3 linked regions of the Saccharomyces cerevisiae S288C genome follow. The protein of the gene in region 1 binds, or shares a complex with, the protein of each later gene. Each region holds a gene or a part of one and is shown in the gene's direction. Other genes may lie near its edges.

Evidence for each region. Proteins that work in one complex are often made in the same cells at the same time.
Region 2: CDC4 (region 1) and CDC53 share a complex: the UniProt entries of both Saccharomyces cerevisiae proteins name them as parts of the SCF(CDC4) complex.
Region 3: the proteins of CDC4 (region 1) and SIC1 are in contact, whole or in part, in a crystal structure (PDB 3V7D), measured with the Saccharomyces cerevisiae proteins. Residues at the interface, in NP_116585.1 of Saccharomyces cerevisiae: Val384 (codon at 5,121), Trp426 (codon at 5,247), Thr441 (codon at 5,292), Arg443 (codon at 5,298), Ser464 (codon at 5,361), Thr465 (codon at 5,364), Arg467 (codon at 5,370), Arg485 (codon at 5,424), Arg534 (codon at 5,571), Tyr548 (codon at 5,613), Arg572 (codon at 5,685), Tyr574 (codon at 5,691), Leu634 (codon at 5,871), Gly636 (codon at 5,877), Leu637 (codon at 5,880), Ala650 (codon at 5,919), Ala675 (codon at 5,994), Ile676 (codon at 5,997), Thr677 (codon at 6,000), Trp717 (codon at 6,120); in NP_013180.1 of Saccharomyces cerevisiae: Phe71 (codon at 1,906), Asn72 (codon at 1,909), Gly73 (codon at 1,912), Leu74 (codon at 1,915), Thr75 (codon at 1,918), Ser76 (codon at 1,921), Pro77 (codon at 1,924), Gln78 (codon at 1,927), Arg79 (codon at 1,930), Ser80 (codon at 1,933).

The regions. Positions count from the first base shown.
Region 1 is NC_001138.5:112,174-119,413, forward strand, and holds CDC4 (SCF ubiquitin ligase complex subunit CDC4), read left to right. Parts: upstream 1-3,971; coding exon 3,972-6,311; downstream 6,312-7,240. Other genes in the region: hexose transporter HXT10, read left to right, coding at 172-1,812; AUA1 (Aua1p), read left to right, coding at 2,817-3,101; WWM1 (Wwm1p), read right to left, coding at 2,935-3,570. UniProt on the Saccharomyces cerevisiae protein: Substrate recognition component of a SCF (SKP1-CUL1-F-box protein) E3 ubiquitin-protein ligase complex which mediates the ubiquitination and subsequent proteasomal degradation of target proteins. Recognizes and binds to phosphorylated target proteins.
Region 2 is NC_001136.10:222,619-229,520, forward strand, and holds CDC53 (cullin CDC53), read left to right. Parts: upstream 1-1,685; coding exon 1,686-4,133; downstream 4,134-6,902. Other genes in the region: SRF1 (phospholipase D regulator), read left to right, coding at 1-1,122; homocitrate synthase LYS21, read left to right, coding at 4,775-6,097; STF1 (ATPase-binding protein), read left to right, coding at 6,553-6,813. UniProt on the Saccharomyces cerevisiae protein: Core component of multiple cullin-RING-based SCF (SKP1-CUL1-F-box) E3 ubiquitin-protein ligase complexes which mediate the ubiquitination and subsequent proteasomal degradation of target proteins.
Region 3 is NC_001144.5:285,125-290,443, forward strand, and holds SIC1 (cyclin-dependent protein serine/threonine kinase inhibiting protein SIC1), read left to right. Parts: upstream 1-1,695; coding exon 1,696-2,550; downstream 2,551-5,319. Other genes in the region: FMP25 (Fmp25p), read left to right, coding at 1-499; BOS1 (Bos1p), read right to left, coding at 612-1,343, 1,433-1,435; EMP46 (Emp46p), read left to right, coding at 2,792-4,126; galactose permease GAL2, read left to right, coding at 5,088-5,319. UniProt on the Saccharomyces cerevisiae protein: Substrate and inhibitor of the cyclin-dependent protein kinase CDC28. Its activity could be important for faithful segregation of chromosomes to daughter cells. It acts in response to a signal from a post-start checkpoint.

The DNA.
Region 1 (7,240 bases):
TGTTTTCCAATCAGAAGGAATTGTTATATAAGGACACAAGAAATGTGTTGGTACGCTCTGCGCCTCAATGACGGTTTATCTATCTAAAACTATTTCTTTCTCGTAATAAAAATACAATAAATAATTAATAATAATATAGTTGATCGATATAACAAAAAAATAACAGCGAGGATGGTTAGTTCAAGTGTTTCCATTTTGGGGACTAGCGCCAAGGCATCCACTTCTCTAAGTAGAAAGGATGAAATTAAACTAACCCCTGAAACAAGGGAAGCTAGCTTGGACATTCCATACAAACCCATTATTGCATACTGGACGGTGATGGGTCTCTGTCTGATGATTGCCTTTGGTGGATTCATTTTTGGTTGGGATACAGGAACCATTTCAGGGTTTATTAACCAAACAGATTTCAAGAGAAGGTTTGGTGAGTTACAAAGGGACGGCAGTTTTCAACTATCAGATGTCAGGACAGGGCTAATTGTCGGTATCTTCAACATAGGTTGTGCTTTAGGTGGCCTAACGCTGGGACGCCTGGGCGATATTTATGGGCGTAAAATCGGCTTAATGTGTGTTATACTGGTGTATGTTGTTGGTATCGTGATCCAGATTGCTTCCTCTGACAAATGGTATCAATATTTTATTGGTAGAATTGTTTCTGGAATGGGTGTTGGAGGTGTTGCTGTGCTGTCGCCAACTTTGATCTCAGAAATTTCCCCAAAGCACCTAAGAGGCACTTGTGTCTCTTTTTACCAGCTAATGATTACCCTTGGAATTTTCTTGGGCTACTGTACCAATTATGGTACAAAGAAATATTCAAATTCAATACAGTGGCGGGTTCCCTTGGGTTTGTGTTTTGCGTGGGCAATCTTTATGGTGATTGGAATGGTTATGGTTCCGGAATCGCCCAGATATTTAGTAGAAAAAGGTAAGTATGAAGAAGCTAGAAGGTCTTTGGCCAAATCAAACAAGGTCACAGTTACTGATCCAGGCGTTGTTTTTGAGTTTGATACTATAGTTGCAAATATGGAATTAGAAAGGGCTGTTGGAAATGCCAGTTGGCACGAACTCTTCTCAAATAAAGGAGCAATTCTACCAAGGGTAATAATGGGAATCGTTATCCAGTCACTGCAACAGCTTACTGGCTGTAATTATTTTTTCTACTACGGCACGACCATTTTCAATGCTGTTGGAATGCAAGACTCTTTCGAGACTTCCATTGTCCTTGGGGCTGTTAATTTTGCTTCTACATTTGTTGCACTATACATTGTGGATAAATTTGGGCGTCGAAAATGTTTATTGTGGGGGTCTGCCTCGATGGCAATTTGTTTCGTCATATTCGCCACCGTTGGCGTCACTAGATTATGGCCACAAGGGAAAGACCAACCTTCTTCGCAAAGTGCTGGTAATGTTATGATCGTTTTTACTTGTTTCTTCATTTTCTCTTTTGCCATTACTTGGGCTCCTATCGCCTATGTCATTGTGGCAGAAACTTATCCATTAAGAGTTAAAAATCGTGCCATGGCCATTGCGGTTGGTGCGAACTGGATGTGGGGTTTCTTGATTGGATTTTTCACACCCTTTATCACTAGATCCATAGGATTTTCTTATGGCTATGTTTTCATGGGTTGCTTAATCTTTTCGTACTTCTACGTTTTCTTCTTTGTTTGCGAAACAAAGGGATTAACTCTGGAGGAAGTTAATGAAATGTACGAAGAAAGAATAAAGCCATGGAAGTCCGGAGGTTGGATTCCCAGTTCTAGAAGAACACCACAACCAACAAGCAGTACACCATTAGTTATTGTTGATAGTAAATAATTTCTAAATATTCTTGTACTCTGGTAAACAGAAATAACAACAGATAATGGATTGATGCTTTACTTCTATTTCATGGAGATTGGTTTTATATAATAGCCTTTATTAATGGCGTCACAAATTGAAAAAAAAATTAAAAAAAATAAGACGGACACATTTGCGACGCCGGTGAATAAATGCATATAAGTAGTTTATAAGCTAGCTACTACTCAGAAATAATTTCAAAAAAAAAAAGAAGTGGGCACTTTAAAATGAAGATTAGCTATAGTAAATTACTGTAGTATAACAACTACCTGCTATCTTTCTGAAAAAATCAGGCAATGTAAGGTCAAACTTGTACCATCGACATATATAATGTTTTGAGATATAAGTAACTAGAGACCAGTTTATACAGGATCTTACCTCTTTTTACCGTTATGAAAGCTTTATTACTGCGTTGTTAGTAAACACACATATTATTTTCGGGTAGTCCTGTCGATGTTCCAAGGCTTTGCATTTATCATTGTTTCCGCTTCATCGGTGGTATTAGTTAGTGTATCTGTATGTGAAGTATGTGGATAGGTGCTTCTATTATTGGAACAAAACACCTTAAACGCGCACTAGGTTATAGGAAAGGGTCCATTATTCAAAGAACGGCTTATTGAAAAGTATGTTGTAAAGCTCGGTCATATCGCGCATAGCCACGATAAGGCGTGGTGCTGCTTCATAGATTGAGAGGCGCAGTCAATACACAACCATACCGGTAGTTTGATAAATGATACTATCATTCCGGAAGCTCTCTAGTAAGCTGTAGGTGGCATATACGGTATCTATCATCTAGTAATAGCTATTGATTTTTTTCTCGACTATGCTATATGTGTTGTGATGGTTCACTTAGAAGTGAAAAAGTAGCAATAAATTAGACAGACAGAAGTAATTGAAGCTACATTCAACAACATGGCTAAGTAAAAAAGCGTAGAATATCATGATGGGTTTTTTTATCTTTTAATTGCTTTCTATGTAGTATAATGGACCGATCTTTGCAAGTATATATCTGTATGTATCCATATTTAGATGGCAGCAAGCAATATAGATTTGATGAGCTTATATCATTTTATCGTCCTTGTCCAAAAAGTCTTGATAACATTAAAAGTCACTACCGTCAAATCCATCATCAAATCCGCCGTCGAACCCACCAGCATCATCAAATCCGCCGTCGGACCCACCAGCATCATCACCGTAGTAATTGTTCTCGACAACGACAGTGTCTGGTCCGTCATAGTTGTGGTCGTCAAATGCGTGTTCTAGCATAGCTCCACCTAACAAACCCGCACCAACACCAAGTAAACCACCCATCATGGCACCGCCGTGTCCACTACCTTTACTGGTGCTTGGCGCAGTTCCATAGTATGCTTGCTGTGGTGCTGCTGCTGGCATAGGGGCTTGTTGAGGATAGTAACGCTGCTGTTGAGGGTATTGAGGGTACTGAGGCTGTTGAGGCTGATAGTAACGAGGTTGCTGTGCTTGGGCCCCTGCTTGCACTTGCGGTGTTGATTGAGAAGAATAAGGTGGAGGAGCCTGGTCTGCCTGTTGACGAGAACTCTTCTCATTGTTAACACCTGGTGGAGGACCTTTGGGTCTTGGCCATGTTGTTCCCCTTGGTGGTTCCCACTGAGAGCTGTTCGTAGATAAATCTACATAATACCAAGTCTGGTATTCATCATCAAAAACAGCCTTCCAGCCAGAAGGCACTTGAGGAGGATTACTTTTACTTTGAGCCATTACTTTAAAATGTTTTGGGTTTTTTTATCGACTCTCTTGTAGTGAGTGATAAAAGCAATTCAGAAAGAGTCTTTTGATTATCATGACTAAAGTAAACTTTTTCTTCCAGCTGCCGGCTCGGTCAGGTGGACGAAACAAAAAAGCCTGTTGAAATAATACTGAATACGTTAAAACGTCACAGCGCTTGTATATCTTGTGAGAGAAAGGCTATTACCACTGTTATATGAATATAGATTGCTCAACAAAGCGTGTCTTTTTCTGTGTGCTTAAAATATAGTGTCTTTTTTGGGAAAAAAACGTTTATTTACAGTATTCTCTTCTTCTTCTCCTCATTCAACTTGTTGCGGTTCGAAGAAAATTACGCATAAAGAATCAAAGAAAGGCAAAAATTACGCTGTACGATGGGGTCGTTTCCCTTAGCTGAGTTTCCATTACGTGATATCCCTGTTCCTTATAGCTACCGTGTGTCTGGCGGTATAGCTTCCTCAGGTAGTGTTACTGCGCTTGTTACTGCCGCTGGCACTCATCGAAACTCGTCCACGGCTAAGACAGTTGAGACAGAAGACGGCGAAGAAGATATCGATGAGTATCAGAGGAAAAGAGCAGCTGGTTCTGGCGAATCCACTCCTGAACGCAGTGATTTCAAAAGGGTAAAACATGATAATCACAAAACCCTCCATCCAGTTAACTTACAGAACACCGGTGCAGCGTCTGTGGATAATGACGGTCTGCACAATTTAACAGATATATCCAACGATGCAGAAAAACTTTTGATGTCTGTGGATGATGGTTCTGCCGCACCTTCTACATTGAGTGTAAACATGGGAGTGGCATCTCATAATGTTGCTGCTCCCACTACCGTCAATGCGGCAACAATAACTGGCAGTGATGTTAGTAACAATGTTAATAGTGCTACTATTAACAATCCTATGGAGGAAGGAGCGCTGCCGTTATCACCCACTGCTTCCTCTCCAGGTACCACAACTCCTTTAGCTAAAACTACGAAAACTATCAACAACAATAATAATATCGCCGATTTGATAGAATCCAAAGATTCTATAATCTCCCCTGAATACCTTTCTGATGAGATTTTCAGCGCAATAAACAATAATCTCCCTCACGCATACTTCAAAAATTTATTATTTAGATTAGTTGCCAACATGGATAGGAGTGAACTATCCGACTTGGGGACTTTAATCAAGGATAATTTAAAGAGGGACCTAATAACGTCTTTGCCTTTTGAAATAAGTTTGAAAATTTTCAATTATTTGCAATTCGAGGATATTATAAATTCCCTTGGGGTCTCCCAAAATTGGAACAAAATAATTAGAAAATCTACATCGTTGTGGAAAAAACTTCTGATATCGGAAAATTTTGTGAGCCCAAAGGGTTTTAATTCTCTCAATCTCAAACTCTCCCAAAAATACCCAAAACTCTCACAACAAGATCGCCTTAGATTATCTTTTCTGGAGAATATATTCATTTTAAAAAATTGGTACAATCCCAAGTTTGTACCACAAAGGACCACGTTAAGAGGCCATATGACGAGTGTTATTACGTGCTTGCAATTTGAAGATAATTATGTCATTACGGGGGCTGATGACAAAATGATCAGAGTTTATGATTCGATAAACAAGAAATTTCTTCTACAACTATCAGGTCATGATGGTGGGGTTTGGGCATTGAAGTATGCCCATGGCGGTATTTTAGTCAGCGGTTCTACAGACAGAACGGTGCGAGTTTGGGATATTAAGAAAGGTTGTTGTACCCATGTGTTTAAAGGTCATAACTCTACGGTGAGGTGCCTAGATATAGTAGAATATAAAAATATCAAGTACATTGTTACTGGTTCGAGAGATAACACTTTGCACGTTTGGAAATTGCCCAAGGAGTCCTCCGTTCCTGATCATGGGGAAGAACATGATTATCCATTAGTCTTTCATACCCCTGAGGAGAACCCATATTTTGTTGGTGTTTTAAGAGGACATATGGCATCTGTAAGAACTGTCTCAGGCCACGGTAATATTGTCGTTAGTGGCTCCTATGATAATACACTGATTGTGTGGGATGTTGCGCAAATGAAATGTTTGTATATTTTAAGTGGACATACGGATCGTATTTATTCGACAATCTACGATCATGAAAGAAAAAGGTGCATCTCTGCCAGTATGGATACCACTATTAGAATTTGGGATTTGGAAAATATATGGAATAATGGAGAATGTTCCTACGCAACAAATTCAGCATCGCCATGCGCCAAAATACTTGGTGCTATGTACACTTTGCAGGGTCATACAGCTTTGGTCGGTTTATTAAGATTATCCGACAAATTTTTGGTCAGTGCCGCTGCAGACGGTTCAATAAGGGGTTGGGACGCAAACGACTACTCTAGAAAATTTTCCTACCATCATACCAATTTGAGTGCAATTACCACATTTTATGTATCGGATAATATTTTGGTGAGTGGATCGGAAAATCAGTTCAACATCTATAATCTACGGAGTGGGAAATTGGTCCACGCAAATATTCTAAAAGATGCTGATCAGATTTGGTCGGTTAATTTTAAGGGCAAAACACTTGTTGCAGCAGTTGAAAAAGATGGACAGAGCTTTTTAGAAATTCTGGATTTCAGCAAAGCTTCAAAAATTAACTACGTTAGCAATCCCGTAAACTCCTCGTCGTCGTCTTTGGAATCCATTTCTACTTCTTTGGGTCTAACGAGGACAACTATAATACCATGACCTTTCCCAGAGAATAAGCATTGACTCATACTTAGATAATATAGCTTAATAAGTAGTTATATAATCAGTAAAAAAGTACAATAACAACTTCGTACATTTTATTGAATATAAACTGCAGCTAAACTGCTTGTATGTTCAATTTTAATTGTGTTTACAAAAAGGGTGCCGTTTATTAATTAATGTTTCTTCCCTGAAAATATGGAAAGTACAAGTTTTTAGTTGAGAAGGGTTTAAGAAAGTTTTGAAAATGATCTAAAAAAATATAAAAGCAATCAAAGAAATAAAAGCTGGAAAAATGCGTAATAACCGAAGTGACTAAAATTTCTTTACGCGCCAAATAAGAAATCGATGCTCTTGAAAGTAGCAACCATTTTTTAAATAATATATTCCTGATGGTTCTTGGCCCAAGAGTTTTCTTGAACTTTTAACGTTAAGAAGTTGATTCTGCTGATTTTTTTCAAGTTATCAAGCGTTATGTTTTGAAACATCTGTTCCGTTTTCAGTTTTTCAAAAAGATCGATATTCTCTTGAGAATTAGGAAGTTCTACGCTCAACCTCCCGTGGGCAGAAGAAATACAAAAGCTAATACAATTGTGTTAGAATAAAGTTCTAATATTATCTAATTAGTAGTATTCATGTTACTAGTATATTATCACATGATATTTCTCAAATTGGACAATGTAAATAATGAGTGTTTTTATGACACAATCTTTATCGTTAGATGTTTCAACGTTCCAAGGCTTGGTTCTATCGCTCTTCTCTTCAAATTGTAATCGTTTGTCATGATAAACACGTACGGGAAAAAAAAAAAAAGTATCAATAACGCGTAAAGTGAATAGAGTATTGGATTCTATAAGACCGAAGACGCTCATATCACATCTCATAAAATCACTTAAAGCAAGCATCCAGAGGCTATTGATAAAAAGCAG
Region 2 (6,902 bases), on another chromosome or scaffold:
CTAGACTATCCAAAATTAAATACTTACACGTTTGTGCCTACCACAGTGCCGCCTTATGTTTTAGAGGCGCAGTTTGATAAATTAAGACTTCAGGATAAGGGCACCGTTGATGGAAATGTTACCGATGATAAAAATCTTCCAAAAGAGTTTAAATGGGGCCAGTTTGCATCTACCATCGGCTGTCATTCTGCATACACTAGAGACCAAAACTACAATCCTAGTCACAAATCCTACGATGGTTACTCTCTATCATCATCTACCTCATCAAAAAATGCGGCTCTTAGAGAAATTTTAGGTGACATGTGCAGCGAGTGGGGAGGTGAAGAACGACTAGAAGGTGTTCTACATTCAGAAATAGGTGCCAATTTAGAGTTCAACACGACAGAAGAGAGAAAAGAGTGGTTACAATATATCGAAAAGGTAAAAGATTTCTATTACGGTGATAATAAGAAGAACCCAGAATCACCCGAATCAGTACACAACAAAGTTTACAAGTCAGATTGGGTAAATGAGCTCAATAAAGAGAGAGAAAAGTGGCGGAGGTTAAAGCAAAGGAAGTTACAACAGTGGAGACCTCCTTTGACGTCGCTATTACTTGATAATCAATATTTGATTTTGGGTTTGAGGATTTTCACTGGTATATTATCGTGCATTTCACTTGCTCTGGCAATCAAGATTTTTCAAAACTCAAGATCAAATAACACCATCAGTGAAAGTAAAATCGGGCAACAACCAAGCACCATAATGGCCATCTGCGTCAACGCCGTGGCGATTGCGTATATTATTTACATTGCACACGATGAATTTGCTGGTAAACCTGTTGGTTTGAGGAATCCGTTAAGCAAACTGAAACTAATTTTGTTGGACTTACTTTTTATAATTTTTTCAAGCGCTAATCTAGCGCTGGCATTTAATACTCGTTTCGACAAAGAGTGGGTTTGCACTTCTATTCGCAGGTCAAATGGAAGCACGTATGGATACCCAAAAATACCGCGTATCTGCAGAAAACAGGAAGCTTTATCCGCTTTTCTGTTCGTTGCCTTGTTTATGTGGGTAATCACTTTCTCGATCAGTATTGTTAGAGTAGTCGAAAAAGTCAGTTCAATTACCAACAGAAACTGAGCTCGACAAATATAGAAATTAAAAGAATTCTTTTAGATACCAAGATTGACATTTATATGCATTGTATATTTTTGACTTAAAAAATTACTCCGGCTTGGCATTTATTCATTAACGGCGGGTTTGATTATATTAGGCTTTGTGCGATATAATATGTATTACCCGAAGGGAGGGCTATTGCACTTTCTTTTCCTTTCCGTTTTAAGGGCCCTTTTTCATTTCGATGTTTGATGGACACACATGAAGTGAAATGTGGCAAATAGAACATCTAGAAAAACTAGGGCATTAGGTAAAGTACCCCAGCAGAACTTCACTTTACAACGCAATTGATTCATATCACTGCTCTTTTATATTGTCCTTTTTCTCTTTTAGAGCTTTTCATCCGCATCTTCTAACTTCTGTGCACCCCTTTCATTGTTGATTACATTTTACCTCAGTTACACATTTCTTTTAGCAATTCGACATTGCTTCTACTTACCGATAAATAAGCGTACATTTTTGAGTCTTGAAAGGATTCTTACATATACCTAAACAAAGAATAACAACAAAATCGCAAGCAGCAAAGCATGTCTGAGACTCTGCCTAGATCTGATGATTTAGAGGCCACTTGGAACTTTATAGAGCCAGGAATTAACCAAATACTGGGTAATGAGAAAAACCAAGCATCCACGTCTAAGCGAGTTTACAAAATTCTTTCTCCAACCATGTATATGGAAGTCTATACCGCAATTTATAACTACTGTGTGAACAAATCACGCTCGTCTGGACATTTTAGTACTGACAGTAGAACTGGCCAATCAACAATTTTGGTTGGCAGTGAGATTTACGAAAAGTTAAAGAATTATTTGAAGAATTACATTTTAAATTTTAAGCAGTCTAATTCAGAGACCTTTTTGCAGTTTTACGTCAAGCGCTGGAAAAGGTTTACAATAGGTGCCATTTTTTTAAACCATGCATTCGATTATATGAATAGATATTGGGTTCAAAAGGAAAGAAGTGACGGCAAAAGGCATATTTTTGATGTAAACACCTTGTGCTTGATGACATGGAAAGAAGTCATGTTTGATCCGAGTAAAGATGTTTTAATAAACGAATTATTAGACCAGGTAACCTTGGGAAGGGAGGGGCAAATAATTCAAAGAAGTAATATTAGCACTGCCATAAAGTCTTTAGTTGCACTAGGTATCGATCCACAGGATTTGAAAAAGTTGAACCTAAATGTCTACATCCAAGTTTTCGAAAAGCCATTTTTAAAGAAGACTCAGGAGTACTACACGCAATATACAAACGATTATTTAGAGAAACACTCGGTAACTGAGTATATTTTTGAAGCACATGAAATCATCAAACGTGAGGAAAAAGCAATGACAATATATTGGGATGATCATACAAAAAAACCACTATCCATGGCATTAAACAAGGTCTTGATCACAGACCATATTGAAAAGTTGGAAAATGAGTTTGTTGTCCTTCTGGATGCCAGAGATATTGAAAAAATTACTTCTTTGTACGCACTAATACGCAGAGACTTTACATTAATCCCAAGAATGGCTTCAGTGTTTGAAAATTATGTTAAAAAGACAGGTGAGAATGAAATTTCGAGTCTACTGGCAATGCATAAACACAATATTATGAAAAACGAAAACGCAAACCCTAAAAAACTAGCACTAATGACAGCTCACTCCCTTTCTCCTAAAGACTATATCAAGAAATTACTGGAAGTACACGATATATTCTCTAAGATTTTTAATGAAAGTTTCCCCGACGACATACCTTTAGCTAAAGCTCTAGATAATGCGTGTGGTGCTTTCATCAACATCAACGAGTTCGCATTACCTGCTGGATCTCCAAAAAGTGCCACCTCGAAGACTTCCGAGATGCTAGCTAAGTACAGTGATATACTATTAAAGAAGGCCACCAAACCTGAAGTGGCAAGTGACATGTCAGATGAAGATATTATAACAATATTCAAATATTTGACCGACAAAGATGCGTTCGAAACTCATTATAGAAGACTTTTCGCCAAGCGTTTAATTCATGGCACTTCAACATCAGCAGAAGACGAAGAAAATATTATTCAAAGGCTGCAAGCGGCAAATAGTATGGAATATACAGGCAAGATAACTAAAATGTTTCAAGATATTAGACTTTCCAAGATCTTGGAAGACGATTTTGCTGTCGCCCTGAAGAATGAACCAGATTACTCTAAAGCAAAATATCCAGATCTACAACCATTTGTATTGGCAGAAAATATGTGGCCATTTTCATACCAAGAAGTTGAATTTAAGCTACCCAAGGAATTGGTACCATCTCACGAAAAATTGAAGGAGTCATACAGCCAAAAGCATAATGGTAGAATATTGAAGTGGCTATGGCCATTATGTCGTGGCGAATTGAAGGCAGATATTGGAAAACCCGGCAGGATGCCGTTCAACTTTACGGTAACACTGTTTCAAATGGCAATTTTGCTACTATATAACGATGCTGATGTATTAACCTTAGAAAATATTCAAGAGGGCACGAGCTTAACCATTCAGCACATCGCAGCGGCAATGGTACCATTCATCAAATTCAAACTGATTCAACAGGTCCCACCAGGGCTAGATGCTCTCGTGAAACCTGAAACACAATTCAAGCTATCACGTCCTTATAAGGCGCTTAAGACCAATATTAATTTCGCTAGCGGAGTCAAAAACGACATTCTGCAATCGCTATCCGGTGGAGGCCACGATAATCACGGTAATAAGTTAGGAAACAAACGCTTGACGGAAGACGAAAGAATAGAAAAAGAATTGAATACAGAAAGGCAGATTTTCTTGGAAGCTTGTATTGTGAGAATAATGAAAGCGAAAAGAAATCTGCCACATACAACATTGGTCAACGAATGCATTGCGCAATCACACCAAAGGTTCAATGCAAAGGTTTCTATGGTCAAGAGAGCCATCGATAGCTTAATACAAAAGGGATACCTACAGAGGGGAGACGATGGTGAATCGTATGCTTACCTTGCTTAATCATCTTTGAAGGCTTGTGCTGATCGAACGAAGCAAATCCTACGAGTAAATACATAAGCGTATACATATATATATATATATATATATATATATATATATGTATATATATATATGTGTGTGTGTGTAATTGTGTGTATTCAACTGAACTATGAAGAGTCTTTGACCTCTTGAGAATCTCATAGTATGAAGATATGGCACTTCTCTTTCCGTTGTAACATCCTTTACCGGGCGGCTTTTCGGCCTGCTTGAGAAGAGATCAGGCTGAAATGATGAGACTGACAACAAGGATCAGTCAGTGGCAGAGTTGAAATTCCGCTGGAAATCGTCACCAGCAGCTACCAGCTCCAAGAAATCCGCGTAGAAATCACGTCGCGCAATGTGCGATAGTGGTGGAACAGCGAAAATTAGTCACTTTGCAAAGATGCCAAGCTGATCGTTCTCGTTGTGTGTGATTCTACGATATTGCGCATGAGTGGTGTTGAGCATGCGTTTGTTCGCATTTTCATGCAGTCTCTTATATACTAATATATATATGCAACAGATTTCAAAATTTATCTTTCTTCTTGTTGCGTTTAGGCCTTTATTTGCTACACATTTAAAAGTGCAACGACAACCCAAGTAATTGTATACTTTAACAAACCATGTCTGAAAATAACGAATTCCAGAGTGTCACCGAATCGACGACTGCTCCAACCACTAGTAACCCATATGGCCCAAATCCTGCGGATTATCTATCCAATGTTAAGAATTTCCAGTTGATTGATTCAACACTAAGAGAGGGTGAACAATTTGCCAACGCATTCTTCGATACTGAAAAAAAGATTGAAATTGCTAGAGCCTTGGATGATTTCGGTGTGGACTACATCGAGTTAACCTCTCCCGTAGCATCCGAACAATCAAGAAAGGACTGTGAAGCTATATGTAAACTAGGTTTAAAGGCCAAGATCCTTACACACATTCGTTGTCACATGGACGATGCCAGAGTCGCCGTAGAGACTGGTGTCGACGGTGTCGATGTTGTTATCGGCACCTCCAAATTTTTAAGACAATATTCCCACGGTAAGGATATGAACTACATCGCCAAGAGTGCTGTTGAAGTCATTGAATTTGTCAAATCCAAAGGTATTGAAATCAGATTTTCCTCTGAAGATTCCTTCAGAAGTGATCTCGTTGATCTTTTGAACATTTATAAAACCGTTGACAAGATCGGTGTAAATAGAGTCGGTATTGCCGACACAGTTGGATGTGCCAACCCAAGACAAGTATATGAACTGATCAGAACTTTGAAGAGTGTTGTCTCATGTGACATCGAATGCCATTTCCACAATGATACCGGTTGTGCCATTGCAAACGCCTACACTGCTTTGGAAGGTGGTGCCAGATTGATTGACGTCAGTGTACTGGGTATTGGTGAAAGAAACGGTATCACTCCTCTAGGTGGGCTCATGGCAAGAATGATTGTTGCCGCACCAGACTATGTCAGATCTAAATACAAGCTGCACAAGATCAGAGACATCGAAAACCTGGTCGCTGATGCTGTGGAAGTTAACATTCCATTCAACAACCCTATCACCGGGTTCTGTGCATTCACACATAAAGCAGGTATCCATGCCAAGGCCATTTTGGCTAACCCATCTACCTACGAAATCTTGGACCCTCACGATTTCGGTATGAAGAGATATATCCACTTCGCCAACAGACTAACTGGTTGGAATGCAATCAAATCAAGAGTCGACCAATTGAACTTGAATTTGACGGATGATCAAATCAAGGAAGTTACTGCTAAGATTAAGAAGCTGGGTGATGTCAGACCGCTAAATATTGATGATGTAGACTCCATTATCAAGGACTTCCATGCAGAATTGAGCACCCCACTTTTAAAACCAGTAAATAAGGGTACAGATGACGACAATATCGATATTTCCAATGGGCATGTTTCTAAAAAGGCAAAGGTCACCAAATAGTTTCATTATATATATAGTACACATATTTCAAACATACACATACTGGGCGTTATTAGGTGTTTAAGTACTGGCGATTACCGTAATAAAATTACTATTTACGTCAACTTTATTCAATAAGCTTTTTCTCCTACTCCGATGTTCAATTGAGGCGGTTGCATCTAGCTTGAAGACGGGGTATTTTAATCAATTAATTGAGATCAATGAATATTGACTCTGTGCGATTCCCCACGCTATTATACTCTCACGGAGTATTTCCGTTATGATAATGATCACTATATACGTCAAATGATCGGTTTCTATTTGCTAACTATTTCAAGCATCATTATTATCTTTTAGGGGGCGGCTGGGGAATTATTTATTATATTTAGTTCAGTCGTTCATAAGAAAATTGAGCTCTCCATTGTAGATATTAAGAAGCACTTTCACCCAGTCATCCAACCAAACACGCTATCAATATGTTAAACCGTTGCATTTCCCGTAATACCAGGCTGCCAGTAAACCTAAGAATTGCCTCTCGCTTTTATTCAGATGGTCCTCTCGGTGGTGCCGGACCTGGTAATCCTCAAGATATCTTTATCAAGAGAGAACGTGCCAAAGAGGATTATTATGCCAGACAACAAGAGAGGGAACAATTAGCACATGTGAAGGAACAACTAAAAGAACACAAGAAAAAATTAGAGAATTTAGAAAACAAAATTAATAACCTTTCAAAGTGATTGGTCATTGTTAAGGCTAAAGGTTCTGCAGACACGTTTTGTACGTAGAAAGAAGCAATCATGCCAAATCAAAATTAGGAAATGAACAT
Region 3 (5,319 bases), on another chromosome or scaffold:
AAGATCGGTAACGCATGCATTTAAACCGCATTTCCCGGGGATGACGAATTGGAAATGTGTGGATATTCATTGTGATGATGAAACATCGTTTGTGACCATTCGTAAGCCTGGCTCAACGTCAGACCATCATTATTTCGCGTTTGGTAATGGACTTTTTGGTGAATTGGGCAACAACACTTTCAAGAACTCGCAATGTGATCCCATAAAAATCAAGTCGGATGACAAGAAATTGACCAACTGGAGTTGCGGCTCTCATTGTGTGTTCACTGAAACTGAACAAGAAAACGAGGTCATTGCATGGGGTAATAACGACCATGGCCAACTAGGTATTGGAAAGAAAACTATGAAATGCGCTAAGCCAATGAACATTCCCGAAGTTCTCAAACCAGGACAAGACACGACAGATTTGGACTCAATTTATAACAGTAAATTACACTTAAAAAAGGAGCAACGTGTAGTCACCAATGGTAATAAAAGTTGCTTATACTGGCGGGTTTGAGAAACGAAAGAGCATAGAAGGAAAGTAGCGAGATTCGCGATGTTTTTTCAACCCTTATAATGATGCATGTATATATGGTATGTTTATTTATATATAGAACTCACGGTTACTTCTATCTTAACCATTTCAACACATAATAAATACCTATGATCAAGAGAATTAACGCGATCCAAAAGACTAGTTTATCTTTGAACACCCGTTTATTGATAGAGGTGATAGTTTGTTCCGAAACACCCAATGTTCTTAGGCCATTTGACATTCTATCTTGTACCTTGGATAAAATTTTGTTTTGTTCCACTATATTTTCGAATGATTGTTGGCCCATTTCTAGAATGTAATCTAATTGAGCGTTACCCCTTTCGAAAACAGACTGTTCCTTTTGTAGCCCTTGGTACAACGGTAGTCCCCCACCGTTGCTAGAGCCCTCTTTACCATTTGCACTCGCACCACCAACGTTCCTTTTATTCATGATGGTCTCTGATGTACTAAAGGGGTTATCGGAGTCCATAACATGCGATGCTCCTGAGCCAAACAACTGAGTTCTGGAATTATTTTCGTTGTAGGATTGTTTTAAATCCTTAAACTTGGCAGTAAAGTCGTGCAGATCCTGTGTTAAAGTTGCTAGTCGATTAGCGAACTTAGGATCAATTTCCTCTGCATTAGTATCTTCTTTATATCTGTTTAAATGTTCTGCATATTGCTTAACTGTTTTCTCCAGTGAGACCAGAGTTGCAGAGATGGACCCTTGTAAAGAAATAGGGGCGGTCACAGAATTCTTTTCAAACCTGGCCAACTCTTGTTGTAGTTGATTTTTTTGCTTCACAGCATGGTTGTAAAGAGCGTTCTATTTGATGGTAGTAGCAAAATACCCTGTTAGTATTACATCTTGTTTTAGCAATAATGAGAAAAGATGCCTCCGGCGATCAAACATACCATTCCCCCCTCAAATCAATATGATTAAGTCACGATAATATCTGCACTATTGCCGTGTTTCCTTCTCCATCGACAGCGTCGATCCTGTCTATTATAGCCAGCACACTGAAAATTTCAATGGCTGGCTTGTTGTTCGCGTCGCAACTTTTGATATTTATAAAAAGAGAGAAGGCATATCCAAAGGATAAGGTATTGTCTTTGTAAATCAATCAACCAAACCTCTACGGAATTTTGACCCTTGAAGCAGGGACTATTACACGAAAATGACTCCTTCCACCCCACCAAGGTCCAGAGGGACTAGGTACCTTGCGCAGCCTAGTGGCAATACTAGTTCTAGTGCCCTAATGCAAGGTCAAAAGACCCCCCAAAAGCCTTCACAGAACCTAGTCCCTGTCACTCCCTCAACAACTAAGTCTTTTAAAAATGCGCCATTATTAGCACCTCCCAATTCGAACATGGGTATGACCTCTCCATTTAATGGGCTTACGTCTCCTCAACGCTCGCCGTTTCCAAAATCTTCAGTGAAGAGGACACTATTCCAATTTGAAAGTCATGATAATGGAACAGTAAGGGAAGAGCAGGAACCATTGGGTCGTGTAAATAGGATATTGTTTCCCACGCAGCAAAATGTGGATATAGATGCAGCAGAAGAAGAAGAAGAAGGAGAAGTTCTTCTTCCCCCCAGCAGACCTACATCTGCCAGGCAGTTACATTTATCACTTGAAAGAGATGAGTTTGATCAGACACATAGAAAGAAGATTATTAAAGATGTACCTGGTACGCCCAGCGACAAGGTGATAACATTTGAATTGGCAAAAAATTGGAACAACAACTCTCCGAAAAATGACGCCAGGAGTCAAGAAAGTGAAGACGAGGAAGACATCATCATCAATCCAGTGCGGGTGGGTAAAAATCCCTTTGCATCAGATGAACTGGTCACTCAGGAAATTAGAAATGAACGTAAAAGGGCAATGTTGAGAGAAAACCCAGATATAGAAGACGTAATAACATATGTCAATAAGAAGGGAGAGGTGGTAGAGAAACGAAGGTTAACGGATGAAGAAAAGAGAAGATTCAAGCCAAAGGCATTGTTTCAATCTAGGGATCAAGAGCATTGAAGAAATGAAAAAAAAAAGTTTCTGGAACGATTATATTTTATTTACTTACTTATTCTACATTTATTTGCAAAGGGGCATTAACATCAACATTTTACATATTATAATATATACAGGATATTCTATATTACAACATTAACAGGATTTTTAACTTTTCCTTACCGTATTCTTTTATTCTGGTTTTCTGTCTTCAGAATAATAGCATATTTCATTGTAGTATTTCGTCAAAGCGAGTTAGGGGAGGATGACTACAAGAAAGACAGCTTCCTCTCTTCAGCTTTTAGGGAAAATCACAGGAACAAAAGCTGGAACTAAGCAAAAGAAGATGAATTTCATTAATGGACTGATATGGTTATATATGTGTGTGTGGATGGTACACGGAAAAGTGACGCAGAAGGATGAATTGAAATGGAATAAAGGATACTCGCTACCAAATTTGCTAGAAGTGACAGATCAGCAAAAAGAACTTTCACAATGGACTTTGGGTGACAAAGTAAAACTTGAAGAAGGGAGGTTTGTTTTAACTCCTGGAAAGAACACAAAGGGTTCACTTTGGTTGAAACCTGAATATTCAATAAAGGATGCAATGACAATAGAGTGGACGTTTAGAAGTTTCGGGTTCAGAGGCAGCACAAAGGGGGGTCTTGCATTTTGGCTGAAGCAAGGAAATGAGGGAGATAGTACCGAGTTATTTGGTGGAAGTTCGAAGAAGTTTAATGGTTTGATGATATTGTTACGATTAGACGATAAGTTGGGAGAGAGCGTGACAGCGTATTTGAATGACGGAACAAAAGATCTTGATATTGAATCCTCACCGTACTTTGCGTCATGTCTGTTCCAATACCAGGATTCCATGGTACCATCAACATTAAGATTGACTTACAATCCACTAGATAATCACTTGTTAAAGTTGCAAATGGACAACAGAGTGTGTTTCCAGACAAGGAAAGTTAAATTTATGGGCAGCAGCCCATTTAGGATTGGAACAAGTGCTATCAACGATGCATCCAAAGAATCGTTTGAAATCTTGAAAATGAAGCTTTATGACGGAGTTATAGAGGATTCGCTAATTCCTAACGTGAATCCTATGGGACAACCCAGAGTGGTTACTAAAGTGATCAATTCTCAAACTGGTGAAGAGAGTTTCAGGGAAAAGATGCCATTTTCTGATAAGGAAGAAAGTATAACGAGTAACGAGCTTTTCGAAAAGATGAACAAGTTGGAGGGGAAAATCATGGCAAATGATATCGATCCATTACTCCGCAAGATGAACAAGATTGTGGAGAATGAACGTGAACTGATTCAACGTTTAAGACCACTGTTAGATCTGAAGAAAACAGCCATAAGTGACGATAGTTTCCAAGATTTTCTTTCGATGAACGCAAACCTGGACAGATTGATAAAAGAACAAGAAAAAATTCGACAAGATGCCAAGCTGTATGGCAAGCAGACCAAAGGTCATGATGAGATATTTTCCAAAATAAGTGTATGGTTGGCACTGCTGATTTTCATTATGATCACATTGGCGTACTACATGTTTAGAATTAACCAAGACATCAAGAAGGTCAAACTTCTGTAAGCTCTTGTGTCTTTGTTATATGGGTACAAGATATAAGAAACATAACTATTACATACGAAAATGTGCATGTTATCTATATCCTTCTTTATATAGATGCTGTTAACTTCTTTTTTTTTTTTTGGGAAAATCAACTGTTAAACGCGACAGTAAAAGCAGCAAAACATTAATTTTGCTTCCAAGACGACAGTAATATGTCTCCTACAATACCAGTTTCGCTGCAGAAGGCACATCTATTACATTTACTGAGCATAACGGGCTGTACTAATCCAAGGAGGTTTACGGACCAGGGGAACTTTCCAGATTCAGATCACAGCAATATAGGACTAGAAAATATCAGGTAGCCGCACTCAACTTGTAACTGGCAACTACTTTGCATCAAACTCCAATTAAATGCGGTAGAATCTTTTCACAAAAGGTACTCAACGTCAATTCGGAAAGCTTCCTTCCGGAATGGCTTAAGTAGGTTGCAATTTCTTTTTCTATTAGTAGCTAAAAATGGGTCACGTGATCTATATTCGAAAGGGGCGGTTGCCTCAGGAAGGCACCGGCGGTCTTTCGTCCGTGCGGAGATATCTGCGCCGTTCAGGGGTCCATGTGCCTTGGACGATATTAAGGCAGAAGGCAGTATCGGGGCGGATCACTCCGAACCGAGATTAGTTAAGCCCTTCCCATCTCAAGATGGGGAGCAAATGGCATTATACTCCTGCTAGAAAGTTAACTGTGCACATATTCTTAAATTATACAACATTCTGGAGAGCTATTGTTCAAAAAACAAACATTTCGCAGGCTAAAATGTGGAGATAGGATAAGTTTTGTAGACATATATAAACAATCAGTAATTGGATTGAAAATTTGGTGTTGTGAATTGCTCTTCATTATGCACCTTATTCAATTATCATCAAGAATAGTAATAGTTAAGTAAACACAAGATTAACATAATAAAAAAAATAATTCTTTCATAATGGCAGTTGAGGAGAACAATATGCCTGTTGTTTCACAGCAACCCCAAGCTGGTGAAGACGTGATCTCTTCACTCAGTAAAGATTCCCATTTAAGCGCACAATCTCAAAAGTATTCTAATGATGAATTGAAAGCCGGTGAGTCAGGGTCTGAAGGCTCCCAAAGTGTTCCTATAGAGATACCCAAGAAGCCCATGTCTGAATATGTTACCGTTTCCTTGCTTTGTTTGTGTG